2 linked regions of the Struthio camelus genome follow. The main gene of each other region encodes a partner of the protein of the gene in region 2 in a complex. Links are inferred from orthologs where the notes say so. Each region holds a gene or a part of one and is shown on either strand. Other genes may lie near its edges.

Region 1 (6,955 bases), on a different chromosome or scaffold from region 2:
CTCACTATAATCCAGGAAAGCACCAACAAAAATCCTCTCTTCAAAAGCAAAGGCATCCTGGCAGCAAAAGTTGTTGTGATTCCCTTTTTAAAAGGCCCTGCTTTTCCTCCCCCTTCACGCACAGTTTTTGTTGTTGTTGTTGTTGTTGTTGTTGTTTTGGTTTGGTTTGGTTTGGTTTGGTTTTTTTTGGGCTGGTTTGTTTTGTTTGTTTGTTTGTTTGTTTTTCCTTCTCTTCAGCAAATTCTCTGGAAAAAGAACCAAAAGTTTTCTGTGAAGTTTTGTTTGCAGGTTCCCCCTCTGCATGCAATAAGTGCTGTAGATGTTTGTGGCTGTCAGGGAGAAGAGTTCTGACTCTGTCTCAGAGTAGGAGAGAGACACAGGGAGAGAGGGAGAGAGAGAGAGAGGACGGATTGGCCTAAAGTGAGTGAGTGAATGAGAGAGGGAGGGAGTTTTGTCTGTGAGTAAAGGCTATGATTAGGAAGGGGGAGGAACAGGCAGGCTGGCTTCCTTATGCTCATTGCTCCCCTAACACACACCTCTCTTCAAATATCACTACTCATGTTTTCTGCCCTCCCCCCTTTCTAAATCTCTTTTCTCTCCTGTACATTTACTCCCTTCCCCCCCCACCCCAGTTTGACTCCTGGCTGTCATTTCCCCCCCCCCCGCCCTTTTTTTTTTTCCTTCCTTTCTTTTTTTTTTTTTTTTGGTTTTGTTTGTTTTATTCCTTCAACAGTATCACTGGCTTAACTAAACAGAGGAAACATGAATGAATGAAAACGGTGAAACCTTTTATTAATGAGCACCTTGCTCTAGGTCCTGTCTGGTATTGTTAGAGATAGCAAGAGATGTTAAATAGCTTGTGAATGAGAGGGGGCAGGAGGCAGGGGCTCGAAATATTTGGGGCAGAACGTTATTCTGCCTCGAGCGGAAGAGAAAAGGTCTTTTCTGCTCACTTTTCAATGCTGGAGGTTATCAACACTGGCAAGAGATCTGACGGGAGCAAAATAACGCTGTTGTTTGGTGGGCTATATAATACTTGATACGCTCTCCAGCTGCAGGATGCAGTGAGGTTTGAAAGCCCGAGCGAGAGGTGGTGGAGCTCAGATCTGTGACGTGCTAAGGTACTGCCCTCGCACCAGAAATATCCCTGCTTCTGCCCTAGCCTGTGCCTAGCGTTTCTCAAGCAGATATATTTAGGTTTGGGGTTAATCAAGTAACGTCTGAAAAATGCTTTGAAGATGAAAAGTGTTACATGTCATCTGGCCAAATTATACTTGCTCCTGACTCAGGCAAATCCCTCACTGATGCCAATAATAATTTTGTCTGAGTGAAGGCTGAGTAAGATCATCTACATTTGGCCCATTGGTATTGCAAGGCACTTCTCGTTTCATTCAATTAAACCACACAGAGCAATCACGATATCAGAATAAGACATTGCAAATGGAAAGCGATCGAAAATGCCACGGGGAACCAGAGTTTCAACAAGTGTTGGTACATCCTTGCCAGTTTATGCCAGCGAGGGTTTTTTCCCCCTGCGCCGCAAAAGCATTCCCTGTGTCACTGCCGTGACTTTTTTTGCCTTTGTATTCTGCAGCGTCTCCCTTCTGTTCCTTATCTAGCAAGGACGAAGTTAACACATTCCCTTAGGTTTGAACTCGGCAACGCAGAAGGAGAGAACTACGGCTTACTGAGCCAAACTTCTGAGGTTTTTCCCCGCCGCACTTTGACGTTAATAGATTTTCTTAGAGCAGCTTCTACTTTTTTGGTATTCACCCTCTTTCTTTTCCTTTCTCTCAGTCTCTCCCTTGCACACCTCGGTCTTCTCAGGTGTGCTTACCTCCTACCCAGCAAATATGCCACTTACACTGCATTACTGTCAGCCATTGCATTTTAGTGGAAAGGAGTAATTTATAAATATAAGCATTGTAAGTTCTCTAGTTTCCATGAGATGACTACAGGCACATGGTCTGAGAGACAGGCAAGGAATTATAGTTACAGTAAATGAAACATACAGAAGTAATTGAACAATCAACCAAAGTTTTACAAATGTTATATATTGCAAGTCCTTTTCAATTAAGCTCTTTTATAAGTCTTTCACTGTTATAAGGCATCTACAGTACACCGTCATCTGTGTTTTACTGACCTCAGTTACTATACTGTTATATACTGTTACACTTATGGGTCTGTCAGCATTATAAACCCTGCAGCCATTCTTATAAACACATCTTTGTAACACAAACCTCACTATAATACATCTAAATTTCTTGGATCTCATGAACAGCCCAAAGTCTGTTGTAATTATATGAAGTCTGAAAGTCAGCTTGAAATAGAAGTAAAAGTTTAATTGGATGAAAAAATAATTTGAGAGGAAAATATGCATTCATGATTAGATGTATTAACAGATGACATAATTAGAGCGGTTATTTATAGTTCTCACATAGCACCTATCCCAATAGTGTCTGATGAAAAGTAAGGGACAGGCATATAGCAACATAAAATATAGATATGTATATTTGATTTCGTGATGCGGAGTATGCGCTGCTTGCCATATATATTAGGTACACTTATTACACACAGTCTCTATTACGTATAGATATAGCATATTATACTTGCATGCCATGATGATTATAGACTGAACATTAAAGCAGAACTTTATATAAAACATTATTTTCTAAAAGCGAGTCTACTGATTGTGCCTATATATAGTTCGTTCATACTTACATCCATACACGTATATATGTTCATGCTTAAAAATATAGAAATGATGGTTCAGAGTCTTTCTATAAAATTTCATGAGCTGCAAAGCTCTGTTTATGCATTCATTCAAAGCATCCATGACAATATGCAACAACATGCACCTTAATTAAAAGTTTTAGTTTTAAAAGAAAAAAAAAACTGATTTAAAGTTGTTACCTCTCCAGTCCTCACACTCTCAGAAGGAGACTGCTGTATTGTGCATTAAGAACTGCTCAAGTTCCTCTTTGTGGTATTCATAATGCGAAGCTTTATACTGTACTTCTCATGTCTACACTCACAAAATAATGTCTGTCAAAAGTAAGGGGGCCGGATCACTGCGCGGGATTGGTTAATCCAGTTACATCAGCAATTGACTGTTTTTCCTGTATGAGACATACTTCTGGTAATTATCTAATGGAAACTCCTAATTGTCTAGCATGACAAAATATCGTGGATTCAACTTGTAGTGGTGATCTCTGTACCCATTTAAAGAACAGAACTTCAAATCAGACTGAAAGCAAACATTGTGAGTCAGGAAGACACACTCCAACTTGTTTTATTGCATAGCTAGATATAGATATTATTAGATGTAGATACCACTGATTTAGTTCAGATACAGTATTTGCCAGATACTTAATTACTAGTTAGCAAATTGTTTTATTCCTCTTTCATACCAAGGAAATATCAGATAATCTATGTGCAAATCTGGACTTTTTTCAAATTCAGGAAAATGCATTTGATTCAGAATCCTTTTTGGAGGATTCAGTCTCTGTGCGATCCCTTAGAATCTCTTTCTGTTAACTTAGAGGTACCTTTAAAGCTCTTCAAAAATGAATCATATTGCTGTTGTCCAAGTCCCATGGCTTCCTTACACGCAGAGTGCATCACACTTAAAAACTGTTGAGACTGCTAAAAATAAGTTACAATGAATGACACATCATCTTTTTTGCAAGTTTGATATTAACACGTATGAAATAAAATTCAATTTGGATTTCAGTTTACATTAGTGAAAATCAGAAATAATTCTGTGTCTATTAGGCAGTGCAAAAGTAATATATACAAGGTCAAAAGCATATCCAAATTCCATCTCCTTTCTTAAACACACATAATCACTGGATTTATGTGGTACCGTTTATGACAAATGGCATGATCATGCAGTCTTTACTCATTCAAAACACCCACTGATTACCAGAAAATCCCCATCCTTCAGATTTTTTTTTTTGGCCTGAATCGTACTTATAATTGTATTTTTATGTCCTGTTGGTAATGTAGATCTGATCTGTCTTGGAATATGGCTGATCTGGATCAGGAAAGAAGGATATGAAATTTTCAACTTGCAGTGGTACCAGGGAGTGCTTATAGCAGCACTGATCGCGGTTGAGGTACGTGCTGAATTCACACAACAACTTTGGTAAAATGAGCAAAAAATTAAGAGTTAATGGGAAACGTATGCCCAGGTAGGTTGTTTTGTTTGCAGGTCTAATATGCATATAATAAGTTTTCAGGCTGCGACATGCTGTAGATTGAAGCCTCTTGAAACAGGTTTCAGTAGCTTTGCTGCAGTCTGACATTCACAGTTGCAGTTGTTACAAAGAATAGGGGTTTTTGTTTGTTTGTTTGTTTGTTTGTTTTTCCTTCAGGGACAGTGAGAAACAGACTGAGAAGAACAAATAATTCCATTCCAGAGGCGCACGCACATACTTAGTTACTTGCAGGACAGTATCTTTAACTGGGATCCTAAAACAAAGTTTTGGCAAATAACTTTTCCAGCAGGGAATTCTCTGTTCCCAGGGCCAAACTGCGTTTGGTTTTAAGTGGCATCCTAAAACTCTTTGCAATTAGTTACATAGTGGTAGTGCAGTGGCTACTGTAATTTGGCAGCAGACGTGTGTACTCAGTAAGAGATCTTGTGCTACACGGACAGTGGAAAAATTGTCCTGAAAATAACAGGGTTATCTTCTCCTCGGAGTCAAAGTGTGAGATGCTCTATTCCCACCAGCTGGCACTGGTGACCACTCCTGACCACTGCTATATCCATGCTGATACAGCAACCACTGGTTTAGTATCTTCTTCCACAGCTGTAGCAGATCACAACATCCCCAGTAAGAAAGCGTGGTCTGTAACAAAAAAAGAAGGCTACCGAGTGAAGCACAGCAAACATGTATATGATTTATAGTGCAGGATAATTTCTGAAAGGAGATTAGGAGAAGTGAAAAGCATTATTCATTTCAGAGCATGCTCCTTATTGCCTCAGGGAATATGTGTATAGCTTTACCAAAGGCCTAATGAAAGCTTTGCTCAGTGACTAATTTTTTTTCACACCTATTTCTCTCTTTATAAATATTTTTCTCCCCACCCCTCTGCTTCTTTTCATTTTGTTGAACACAGCAACACCTGCTGGCAGTGGTCCGGGAGTACTGCTGGAAAGACCCACAGATCTAACTCTTCAGACCAGCTGCCATTAAGCACTGCCAAGCCATATTAATGAGCTGCCTCTATTTTTACCCCTTCCTGCCAGAAAGGGCAGTTGCTCTTCGGAAAGACTGTAGCATGTTTTTTTTTTTTTCCCCTCCTCTCTTCTTTCTTTCTTTCTTTTTTCCTGGCAGCTTCAGAATCCAGATAATCATTGTTCATTTAGTGAAGCTGGGATTTCTCTAACTTAAATTCTGATGCCACTGATTGAGACCACATAAAACTCCAGAGTGATGCTAAGGCGATCGAGTTGGCTTGCAGGCATATGTTAGTTCCCTGCCGGGTCAAAAATAACTAAAGGGAAGGGACTGGAAGAGAAAGGGTAGTATACCAGCAACCTGTCTCTTTTTCCTTTTTGTGGATTTTATCTTACAAACCGTTAAAAAATGGCCCATTGCCACCTCATTATTCACCTACTGGAGGTTGTATGATTTACTGGCTGTTTTGGAATTGGGCATGGTACACAACGGTATTTGTGTGTCTCCGTTCTTGCTTTGAAGAGCAGTCACTAGAAAACACATTGGCACAGATTTCTGCGCAAATCAGCTGGAATCTCGCTCTGCTGTACCTTGTTTTACTGTAATAGCAAAACAGGATGTGCCAGAAACTTAGAAGTTTTACGTTTCCCCATTTTATGTAAATGGTCCAATTAGGGCCAGTCTTGCTGTTGCTGCTCACTCTAAAGCCTTTGCGTTGCTTAGAGGGGCCAATGTTTTCAATCATAATTAGAGAGCTGGTCAAAAAATAAAGTTCGTCTAAGGATAAGGACTCTGTCTGGAGGGTGGGGTAAAGAATAGCTTTCAAGTTCTTGCCTTTTTTTGTATTAATGAATGACACTTTTCTCAGGGGGGCAAGATAAGCATGAATGCTCTGTTTTAGGAAGATCTGTCTTCATTCAAAGTCAATCTGACTAACAAATGAAAGCATGTTGTTTTCCTTTCTAAACGATACCTCTGTCTTCTGCCATGCTGTTCATTGATCTTCTTTCTTTCCGATTCACTGAACAATGAACTGTTCCTTTAAAAGGGATATTTTTATGTTCATGTTATTTTAGCATATGCATTGCTGTTTTCCACTTAAAAACCAGGAGATATGCATGCATAAGCCAGGTGACGCAGATGATGTTATCAGCGTGAGATGAAATGACACAAATGTGTTCGATAATATATCAGTGCTTGCCTAAAACATGTGGGGGAAAAACTATTTACAGAGAGAATTTTCTTGAATTCATAGAAAGTATAGAGGTAAATTACGACTCCAGAGGGTAGTCCAAAGAACCGAAAGCGTTCCCACAAACTAGTGTCCTGCCTTGTTCTTATGGCACGAAGATTTTCAGTACATTACTGGACTAGTCATTCTTTTCTTGAGAAACAGCTCTGCAATGTGTAAAATGTCTCAAGTGATATTTCCAGAGGTTGTGATTAGAGTCGCATCAAATAATTTAAACCACACAGGGAGGGAGCTCCAGACTACAGATCCTATTTGGTTCCAAGTTGGATGAATAATTTATGGCTAAAGTTGGAGCAGCGTTTAACATTTATAGGTGAATTAAAGCTATTATCAAAAAAAGAGGATTACACTAAATTAATTTGCATGCTGTTTAAAACTTCAACTGTTGCACAAAGCATACATCACAATCATTCCTCATGGAATTGTACTTAGATAAGTGGAGTTTTATCAAGGATACATTTGGGCCAGCTGCAAAATAATTGGTAATGGCTTTATTTCTCTGGCAAGGCCAAAGTTC
Region 2 (7,029 bases):
TACATGCAGTGCTTGGGAGGGCTGAAAAGAGACTGATTCCTATAATAATGCTTCCGGACTGGTCTGAAACTGTGAGTGGGCTCCCTTATCCTAGTTACCAACAGTCATTCTAATTCATGTACCACTTGCGATGGTCCCATTAGGCCTTAAAACGAGGAAGAAAGAGAGAGAGATATGCTTCGTTCATGACTCCTATGGACCTCATAAACATGTGATGCCCAAGACCAACCTGGTAAGAAAGATCCCTGTTTTGGTAATATTTACTGGATGGGTAGAAGGTATAACACCGCTGAAGTGATCCTGCAAACAAAAAAACACCCTTGCTTTAGAATAATAAGCTACTTGAGAAAGAGACACCTTCTTACTATGACATTCATGCAAATGTTTTTTATAGATAACAAATATTCATTCTATTTTATATCTAAAATAATTGGTGAAATATGAATATGGATCGTAATCTACCTTCTGTCAGTAAAAAAGGTATTTAAAACCAAATACTTAAAATGGAAAACATACACACACACACACACACGCATATGCACACAATAGCAATACTTTTAGCTATAATTTCCTGCTCATGTGGCAACATGATGAGCATTCTGAAGAAGCTGAGCCAAGTGAAAATACAACCTGCAGAACAGGTCACGTTTAAATATTCTGCTATTGAAGAATATTAAAAACTACAGATTAAGGAGGAGTGTTGTAATGCTTACATTAATTAATGCTTGTAAATCATTCTGAAACACTTGGATAAAAGATGGCACAAAAAGCGTTGCCACATGTCCTGATGTTTTTACATTTGCACAATTCCATACACCTTGTTTTGCTTTTGGAGGTTTCAAAGCAAATTATCATCAGTGAATGAATTTAGTTTTGGTAAGTGTTTGAACAGGCCAGAAAAACACAAAGGACATCCAAATCCTGATTAAGAACTTAAGAGACACTTCAGTACAAACGCAGGGTCTAAAATATCCACATTTCTTCATGTCTGAATCCAAGTATTATGGTGGCTCAACAGGTCTGGCTACTGAAAGCCCCTGCTGATCAGTGAATTAGTACAACTCAGGTTGCTTGGTTGCTCAGCCTTGGCTTGGTTGCACATTCGCATATGTGAAAATATCTTACACATAATATTCCTTCCAATTTGGTATTCCTATCACCTAAAAACTTAGACCATGCCATCAGCAGCCTGAAAAGTAAAGTATCTGAAGTCATTCAGCACATCTCTATAGTTAGTGAACGATTTATCAGCTTTCAGAGGACTTGGTACCTCTTGTTTCCACAAGCACAGGCCTTTACAAAATACAGAAATCATAGGCCACCACTACGGCCCTTATGCTTTTCTGCATCCTTCCTCAGGTCTAGAAGAAACGTGTCTTCCTTTGCACTCAGAGGCAGATAACATATTTTACGGTATCCACTCAAAAAAAGTACAGACTCCGACCAAACTCATGAAGAAGCAGAACAGCTGCCCTTGAGGTGGATGGATGATTTACCGTAGAAACGTTGCATCTAGACTGAAACAAACTACCAGAAATACCCATACATATCTTCTCCAAAAGATGAGAACACTGGAAATTATTCATTCTTCCTGGTCTCTCCCTCCTCTGTTCCAAACTGAGCGCACGTGCTGCTCCATACCCATGTCCTGCGGCACAGACCATTTGTTCCGCTTTTGCACAGCAGAACAATGTAGTGTTGTGCCCATCTCGGGAACTTCTAAAGGCGGTCTCGCTGCACATAAATAATATAAGCCGCTAGGCTGTGATGGCCAAAGGACAAACAATGATAGGAAACAGGAGTGTGCTGTGATTCAGAGGAACGATAAGAAAGCTGCTGGAGGCAGGAAGCGTGGCGACCATGCAAGCAGAGCACCCTGTTCTTCTGGGGGACCAGTGCACACATCATCAATGACACTTTTTTATATATACACACACATATAGATATACACACACATATATAGATGAATGCATATATATAACTAATATGCTGTGTAGGTATAACCACCTGCTAACATACTATCTGTGCACGACAGCACCTGAAAGCAGGACTATAAAATGCACACTGGATTTTGTGACAACAGGGATTAGATTTAGGTCCTTGAGGAAGAAGTCTGCCACTGGGAATGCCACATGCCATCCTTCCTACTAAAGCTCCCTGCTAGAAACCAGCAGCAGCATCGCTGCTGGTTGGGGGAGTGAGGAAAAGAGCCCTCAACGCTGCCAGAAAGCCGGGAAAACAGCCTTTGACACCAGCGCCAGCAACTCTCGCTTTTATAACACGTCTCAAATGTGTTTTTTTGCGGTATTTTTCTCTCCCAGCCCTCCCTCCACAGCAGACCGCTGTCACCAGGAAAAGGCTGTGGTGACAGAGAAACGCTCCCAAACGCCAGGTGCAAGGCCAGGAAAGGTGGACTAATAACAAAGGGTGGCGGGGAGGGGCGGGGGGGGGGCGGGGGCGGGGGCGGCGAGGCGCGGCCCGTCCCTCACACCTGCCGGCCGGCCGGCCGGCCCCGCGGCGGGCGCCAGCGCGCACACGCACGCACGCACCCACCCTCTCCTCCTCCAGCATTACCGAGGCGAGAGGCGACAGAAACCGGCCCCCGCTCTGCGAGCCGGGCGGGGACCCTCCGGGGCCGGCGCCCCAACGGCCGCGGCGCCTCCAACGGCCGCGGCGCCCCAACGGCCGCGACGGCGCGAGGGCCGCGCCCACTGGGCGGGCGCGCGGACACGTGTGTGCGCGTGTGCGAGGCGGCAGGGGAGGGGGCGCGCGCGGGCGCAGGTAGGGGCGGGCAGGCGCGCGCTCCCCCCGCCCCTCGCGGCGCCGGGCTGGGGAGGGGGGGGGGTGGAGGAGGAGAGGGGGCGGGGCCGGGCGGCGGGCGGCGAGTGGCCAGGGCGGCTGTCAATCGGCGGCGCGGCGCGCTCGCACGGCGTCGCGCGACGGGGCCGCCGCGACTGGGGCTGCGGGAGAGGAGGGGAGGGTGGGGGAGGGGGGAGGAGGAGAGGAAACAAAAACAATCGCCCGGGCGCCGCCATCTTGGCTCCGTTCTCCACGCCACACAAGTGAATGGGTAGATATGAAATTACCACAGGGGAGCAGCAGCCGCAGCAGGGTCCGGAGGGCTGTTCCGAGCTGCCAGCGGGACTCGGGAGACTCTAGAGACGGCTCCTGCCGCCACCGCCGCTCAGAGAAAAACCCCGGGCTCGGCCTTTCCTCCTCGCCAGCCCTTAAACTGCACTCCTGGAGGGACAAAGTTGGTCTCGGCCGCGCTGCCTCCGCCGCCCGGGAGACGGGAGAGTTGCGTTCAGCGGCGGTTTCCTCCGAGCCGCGAGTGAGCCGGGGTCAGAGTTAGGGGAGAGGGTGGCGAGGGGAGTCCTGCCCCCCTCCACCCTCTGGCCGGGGCTCGCCTGGTGCGCTGTGTGGGAGGCACAGCGAAGGGACAGCGGGAGTCCGGCAGCCTTCTCCTTTCCACCCCCTGCTGTGTGTGTATATATATATATATATGTATTTTTTTCCTTTTCTTCTACACCAAGCAAGAACTGGATTGAGTGAGAGACTGCCTAGGGTCTCCGTTTGAACAGCAGCGGGGCGGGTAGAGGCGCGGAAAGAGAGGCCGGGGGGGGGGGGAAAGAAATGTGTCCGTGAGGAGTTGGCGAGGAGCGTGTGTATTTACCATCCAGCAGAAGAGGCACAAGCCTGGCAACACGGGAGGAGGAAACCTGCCGCCAGCCCCGCGGACGAGGCGATAGCTGCTGTCGCCTCCCGTGCGCGCATAGACCTCGCTAGCCGCCGCGCTCGCCGACAAGCGGAATTCTCCCCGAAACACAGCGATCCGGGAAGGAAGGATTTGCCACCGAGCCTATCTATCACCCTCCTCCCCAGCGGCTGGATACTGCAATTCCCCCCCCCCCCCCAGTCATTCTTCTGTGTTTAAATACCAAATATAGTCTCTTGGGAGGGGGGTGGCAGCCTTTTAAAAGAATTGGAAATCTGATTTGGGCTCGAGAGGGCTGGTGTTGAACGGACAAGGCGAAGGCTCGTGGAAACGGGAGAGAAGGGGAAATGTGCAGCTTTCATTGACTGGCTGGAGAAGGACTAGAGATTTACCACTTTTGAGGAGGCCAGGAGGTTTGTTTGTTATCAGACTGTTGTTTCTTCCCTTCTTCTCTCCTGGGTTACGCTAAATCCCGCAGCATTATTAAAGAAAACTTCAGTGTTGCCCACGTGTAGCTGGTAGCTTTCTTTTTAAGGTAGTTTTGGTAAAGAAACTGACAGACTTCTTATCCTTCCCTTCCTCAAAGGCTCGTGACGTTTGAAACTGAAGTGGACCTCTTTTTCTCCCAAACACTACATGTTGTATAACGGGAGTGAGGACGAAAATATATTGTTTACTAATCTCAGTACGACTCCCCGATTTTCAGCACCCACGAGGGATGCTTTGCAAAGCTTGATGTGGAAAAGAGTTGGAGTGTGTTTCGAGACTTTGTTTTCCTAAGGTATCCAGCGGCTTAATTGTTGACTTTTTTAGTGGATTCGTAACATGCTTTTATGAATTAAATTTTGCCACCGTTTGTACAGAAGCCAAATGACACGTGTGTTTTGAAACACAGTTCCAAATAAATCCATCCCTGTGCCCGGATTCTCGCCAGAAAGAGCCAGAGAGAGATCGTCACTAACTTAATAAATCCGACTTTACTATTTTGTGAACGTTATACTCCTCAGAAATGTTGATATAGAGTGCATTATTCCGGTTCAGCGGAAAGGGGGATTTTCCAGCTTGCAAGACCCAGGAAACTGGATACTTAAAATCACTTAAATGTTTTAACAGCATTGGAAAATGGGAGCTGCTACCAAGTTGGCGTTTGCTGTTTTTCTTATCTCATGTTCTTCGGGTAAGTCTTATTTTTGTCACTTTAAACGTAAAGGATCAGAGCTTGAAAGGTAGCTTGAAGGTAACGTTGTTCATTAGTATGAATTAAGATAAATCTCCTTTTCAGATGACAAACGTGTGGGGCTGGCAGTGTTTGTAAAGGCATTAGCTGTTTTGATCGTTATTCTTAAGAATTTGTGTAGCTGATCGTTTCGAGCATGTGCGGTCCTTGCATTTCAGATAGATTGCGTAGAACACATGCAGAAATTTAACCACCTAATGTCATAGGCAGTCGCCTGATGATGCAATAACTAGCATGTTTCGTGTTTTAAAATATAAATAATCAAACTGAAATATTCTTAACTTCATTGATATCTCTTGTTTTGTGGCATTCAGTGGTGAATACCGGCCTTCATTAATGCTTCGTTAGCGTAGAACAGTTACTACTATGAAAGTATTAGCCTAGTCCTTTACTGACAGGAAGGGATGTGTGCACGTGTAGATGTGCACACAGAATAAGTGCAAAAGGTAGACTTTCAAATCGGTTTCTAAGCGATTTGTAAGGCTTTGTATTTTGCTATGTGTGTTTTGTAGTACAAAAGTCCATTAATTTTATCTTTGAAATAACAAAAGTTCGGTTTCTAATGCTAGCTCTTAGTCATGCGAAACAACTGGCGTGTGAGAACTTCTGTACGCTTGTTTTAGGGGGGGAATTGTTATGGTAGCAACCAGTGGCTGGCTGGACTGTTGATACATTTCTACTTGAAGCTTCATCAGTTTTACAAAAAGCTATTATAAGCTACCAATCTTGAGCGGTGTAACAGATTTAAAACTTGTTTATATGTTTCTGAACGCATCTAGAGTCCTCTCTGTATGTTTATGTATGCTTTTTAGCTTTCTCATACAGCATGCAAAGATAAACTTGTTTATCAGTCTGAGTATTCTGACTGCTGGTTTTCAGGTTTCAATTGTAACCTGTGTAAGGCATTGTAATACAGATCTAGTCACTGCCTTTTAAAATTTCAATGTTATAATGTGCAGCATTTTGCTGAACAGTACATTTTCTTGTGGTTAGTAAATGGATAGTCTAGTCTAATGTCTGTAGTGTTATTGATCAATTACGTGTGGGCTAAATGTGCTGTGAAATGGCGATCACTGCCAGAAATTAACCAAAAGAATCCTGTCTGTTTTAATCAGAGAAATAGCAGAAGAGGTTACAGGCACATAGTTTTGTGTGTGTGTGTGTGTGTGTGTGTTTTTTTTCTAAGTGTACCTTTTCTTTTTTAAAGCATATGATTACTTTTGACAATTTTACCTTTCACTAAAAGACATATCTTCTATCTTGACCTAATAATACCTAGTTTTGAAGTTACTCAAGTGACATTCCTCTTCATTCAGGAATATTTTCATAGGATACTTCCCCCCTCCCCCCCCAACTGGCAGTTTTTGGAAGGCTTAGTGCCATCTGTTCTTCATGTATGTCTTTCCGTTCCTTGTCTTTCTATTAAGATCCTTTTGCCTAGAGCACACAACAGTGATCTTGTTGAAATTAACTATCTTCCATATCAAAAAGAACTGTTAAGCAACAAGAACAGTCTTTTCTTTAGCCTTCTTGCTCTTACTGTTCTTGGTAGATAAAAAGTGAATATTTCTCTTGCCTGGTGAAAAAGGAAATAATCTTCACTAAATGAAGAACTGGCTAGATTTTGGACTACTTCATATGTTAATAACATTGTTTTGGTGGTTATTCCAGTATTAAACAGGAAATAATCCAGTATTTAACAATTATTAAAGTATTTTCTGTCCTAATATTCATCAGCGTTTCTGCTCTCCTGGTGTAGGTATAAGAATGAACAGACTTGCAGTGAGTTTTTACTTCTACTATTCAGAACTCAAAGACTATTTAAGCTTTTAGCATTAAATACATGCCTTTTGATTAGTAGTGTTTCTTCTGTTCACTGTGACTTGTGTAGGTTAGGCATCTGATTAATTTGTTCTAACATCATAGTCAGAAGTAAAAGTCTCCTTGGCGTTCTTTAGACTGGAAGAAGTCTATCCAGATTATTTATTTAAGTATATTGGCAATAGTTGGAGAAATCCTAGAGTTCAGATGTAAAGACATGTTCTTTCTTTCTCCAGTATACAGTCTCCAACCACTT

Evidence for each region.
Region 1: the proteins of ACVR2A (region 2) and INHBA are in contact, whole or in part, in a crystal structure (PDB 7U5P), measured with the Homo sapiens proteins. The link is inferred for Struthio camelus from reciprocal best matches to the Homo sapiens genes ACVR2A and INHBA. Residues at the interface, in NP_001265508.1 of Homo sapiens: Asn36, Asp53, Lys56, Phe61, Thr63, Lys65, Val74, Lys75, Cys78, Trp79, Leu80, Asp81, Asp82, Ile83, Asn84, Val100, Phe102; in NP_002183.1 of Homo sapiens: Ile340, Ala341, Pro342, His346, Arg397, Pro398, Met399, Ser400, Met401, Leu402, Tyr404, Asn409, Ile410, Ile411, Lys412, Asp414, Glu421.

The regions. Positions count from the first base shown.
Region 1 is NC_090943.1:59,022,850-59,029,804, forward strand, and holds the start of INHBA (inhibin beta A chain), read right to left. Parts: upstream 3,024-6,955; 5' UTR 2,914-3,023; intron 2,532-2,913; coding exon of another isoform or gene 2,525-2,531; intron 548-2,524; exon of another isoform or gene 246-547; 5' UTR 57-245; coding exon 1-56. Other genes in the region: uncharacterized protein, read left to right, coding at 2,525-2,531, 4,009-4,118. UniProt on the Homo sapiens protein: Inhibins/activins are involved in regulating a number of diverse functions such as hypothalamic and pituitary hormone secretion, gonadal hormone secretion, germ cell development and maturation, erythroid differentiation, insulin secretion, nerve cell survival, embryonic axial development or bone growth, depending on their subunit composition.
Region 2 is NC_090947.1:43,328,271-43,335,299, forward strand, and holds the start of ACVR2A (activin receptor type-2A), read left to right. Parts: upstream 1-4,005; 5' UTR 4,006-4,837; coding exon 4,838-4,892; intron 4,893-7,029. UniProt on the Homo sapiens protein: On ligand binding, forms a receptor complex consisting of two type II and two type I transmembrane serine/threonine kinases.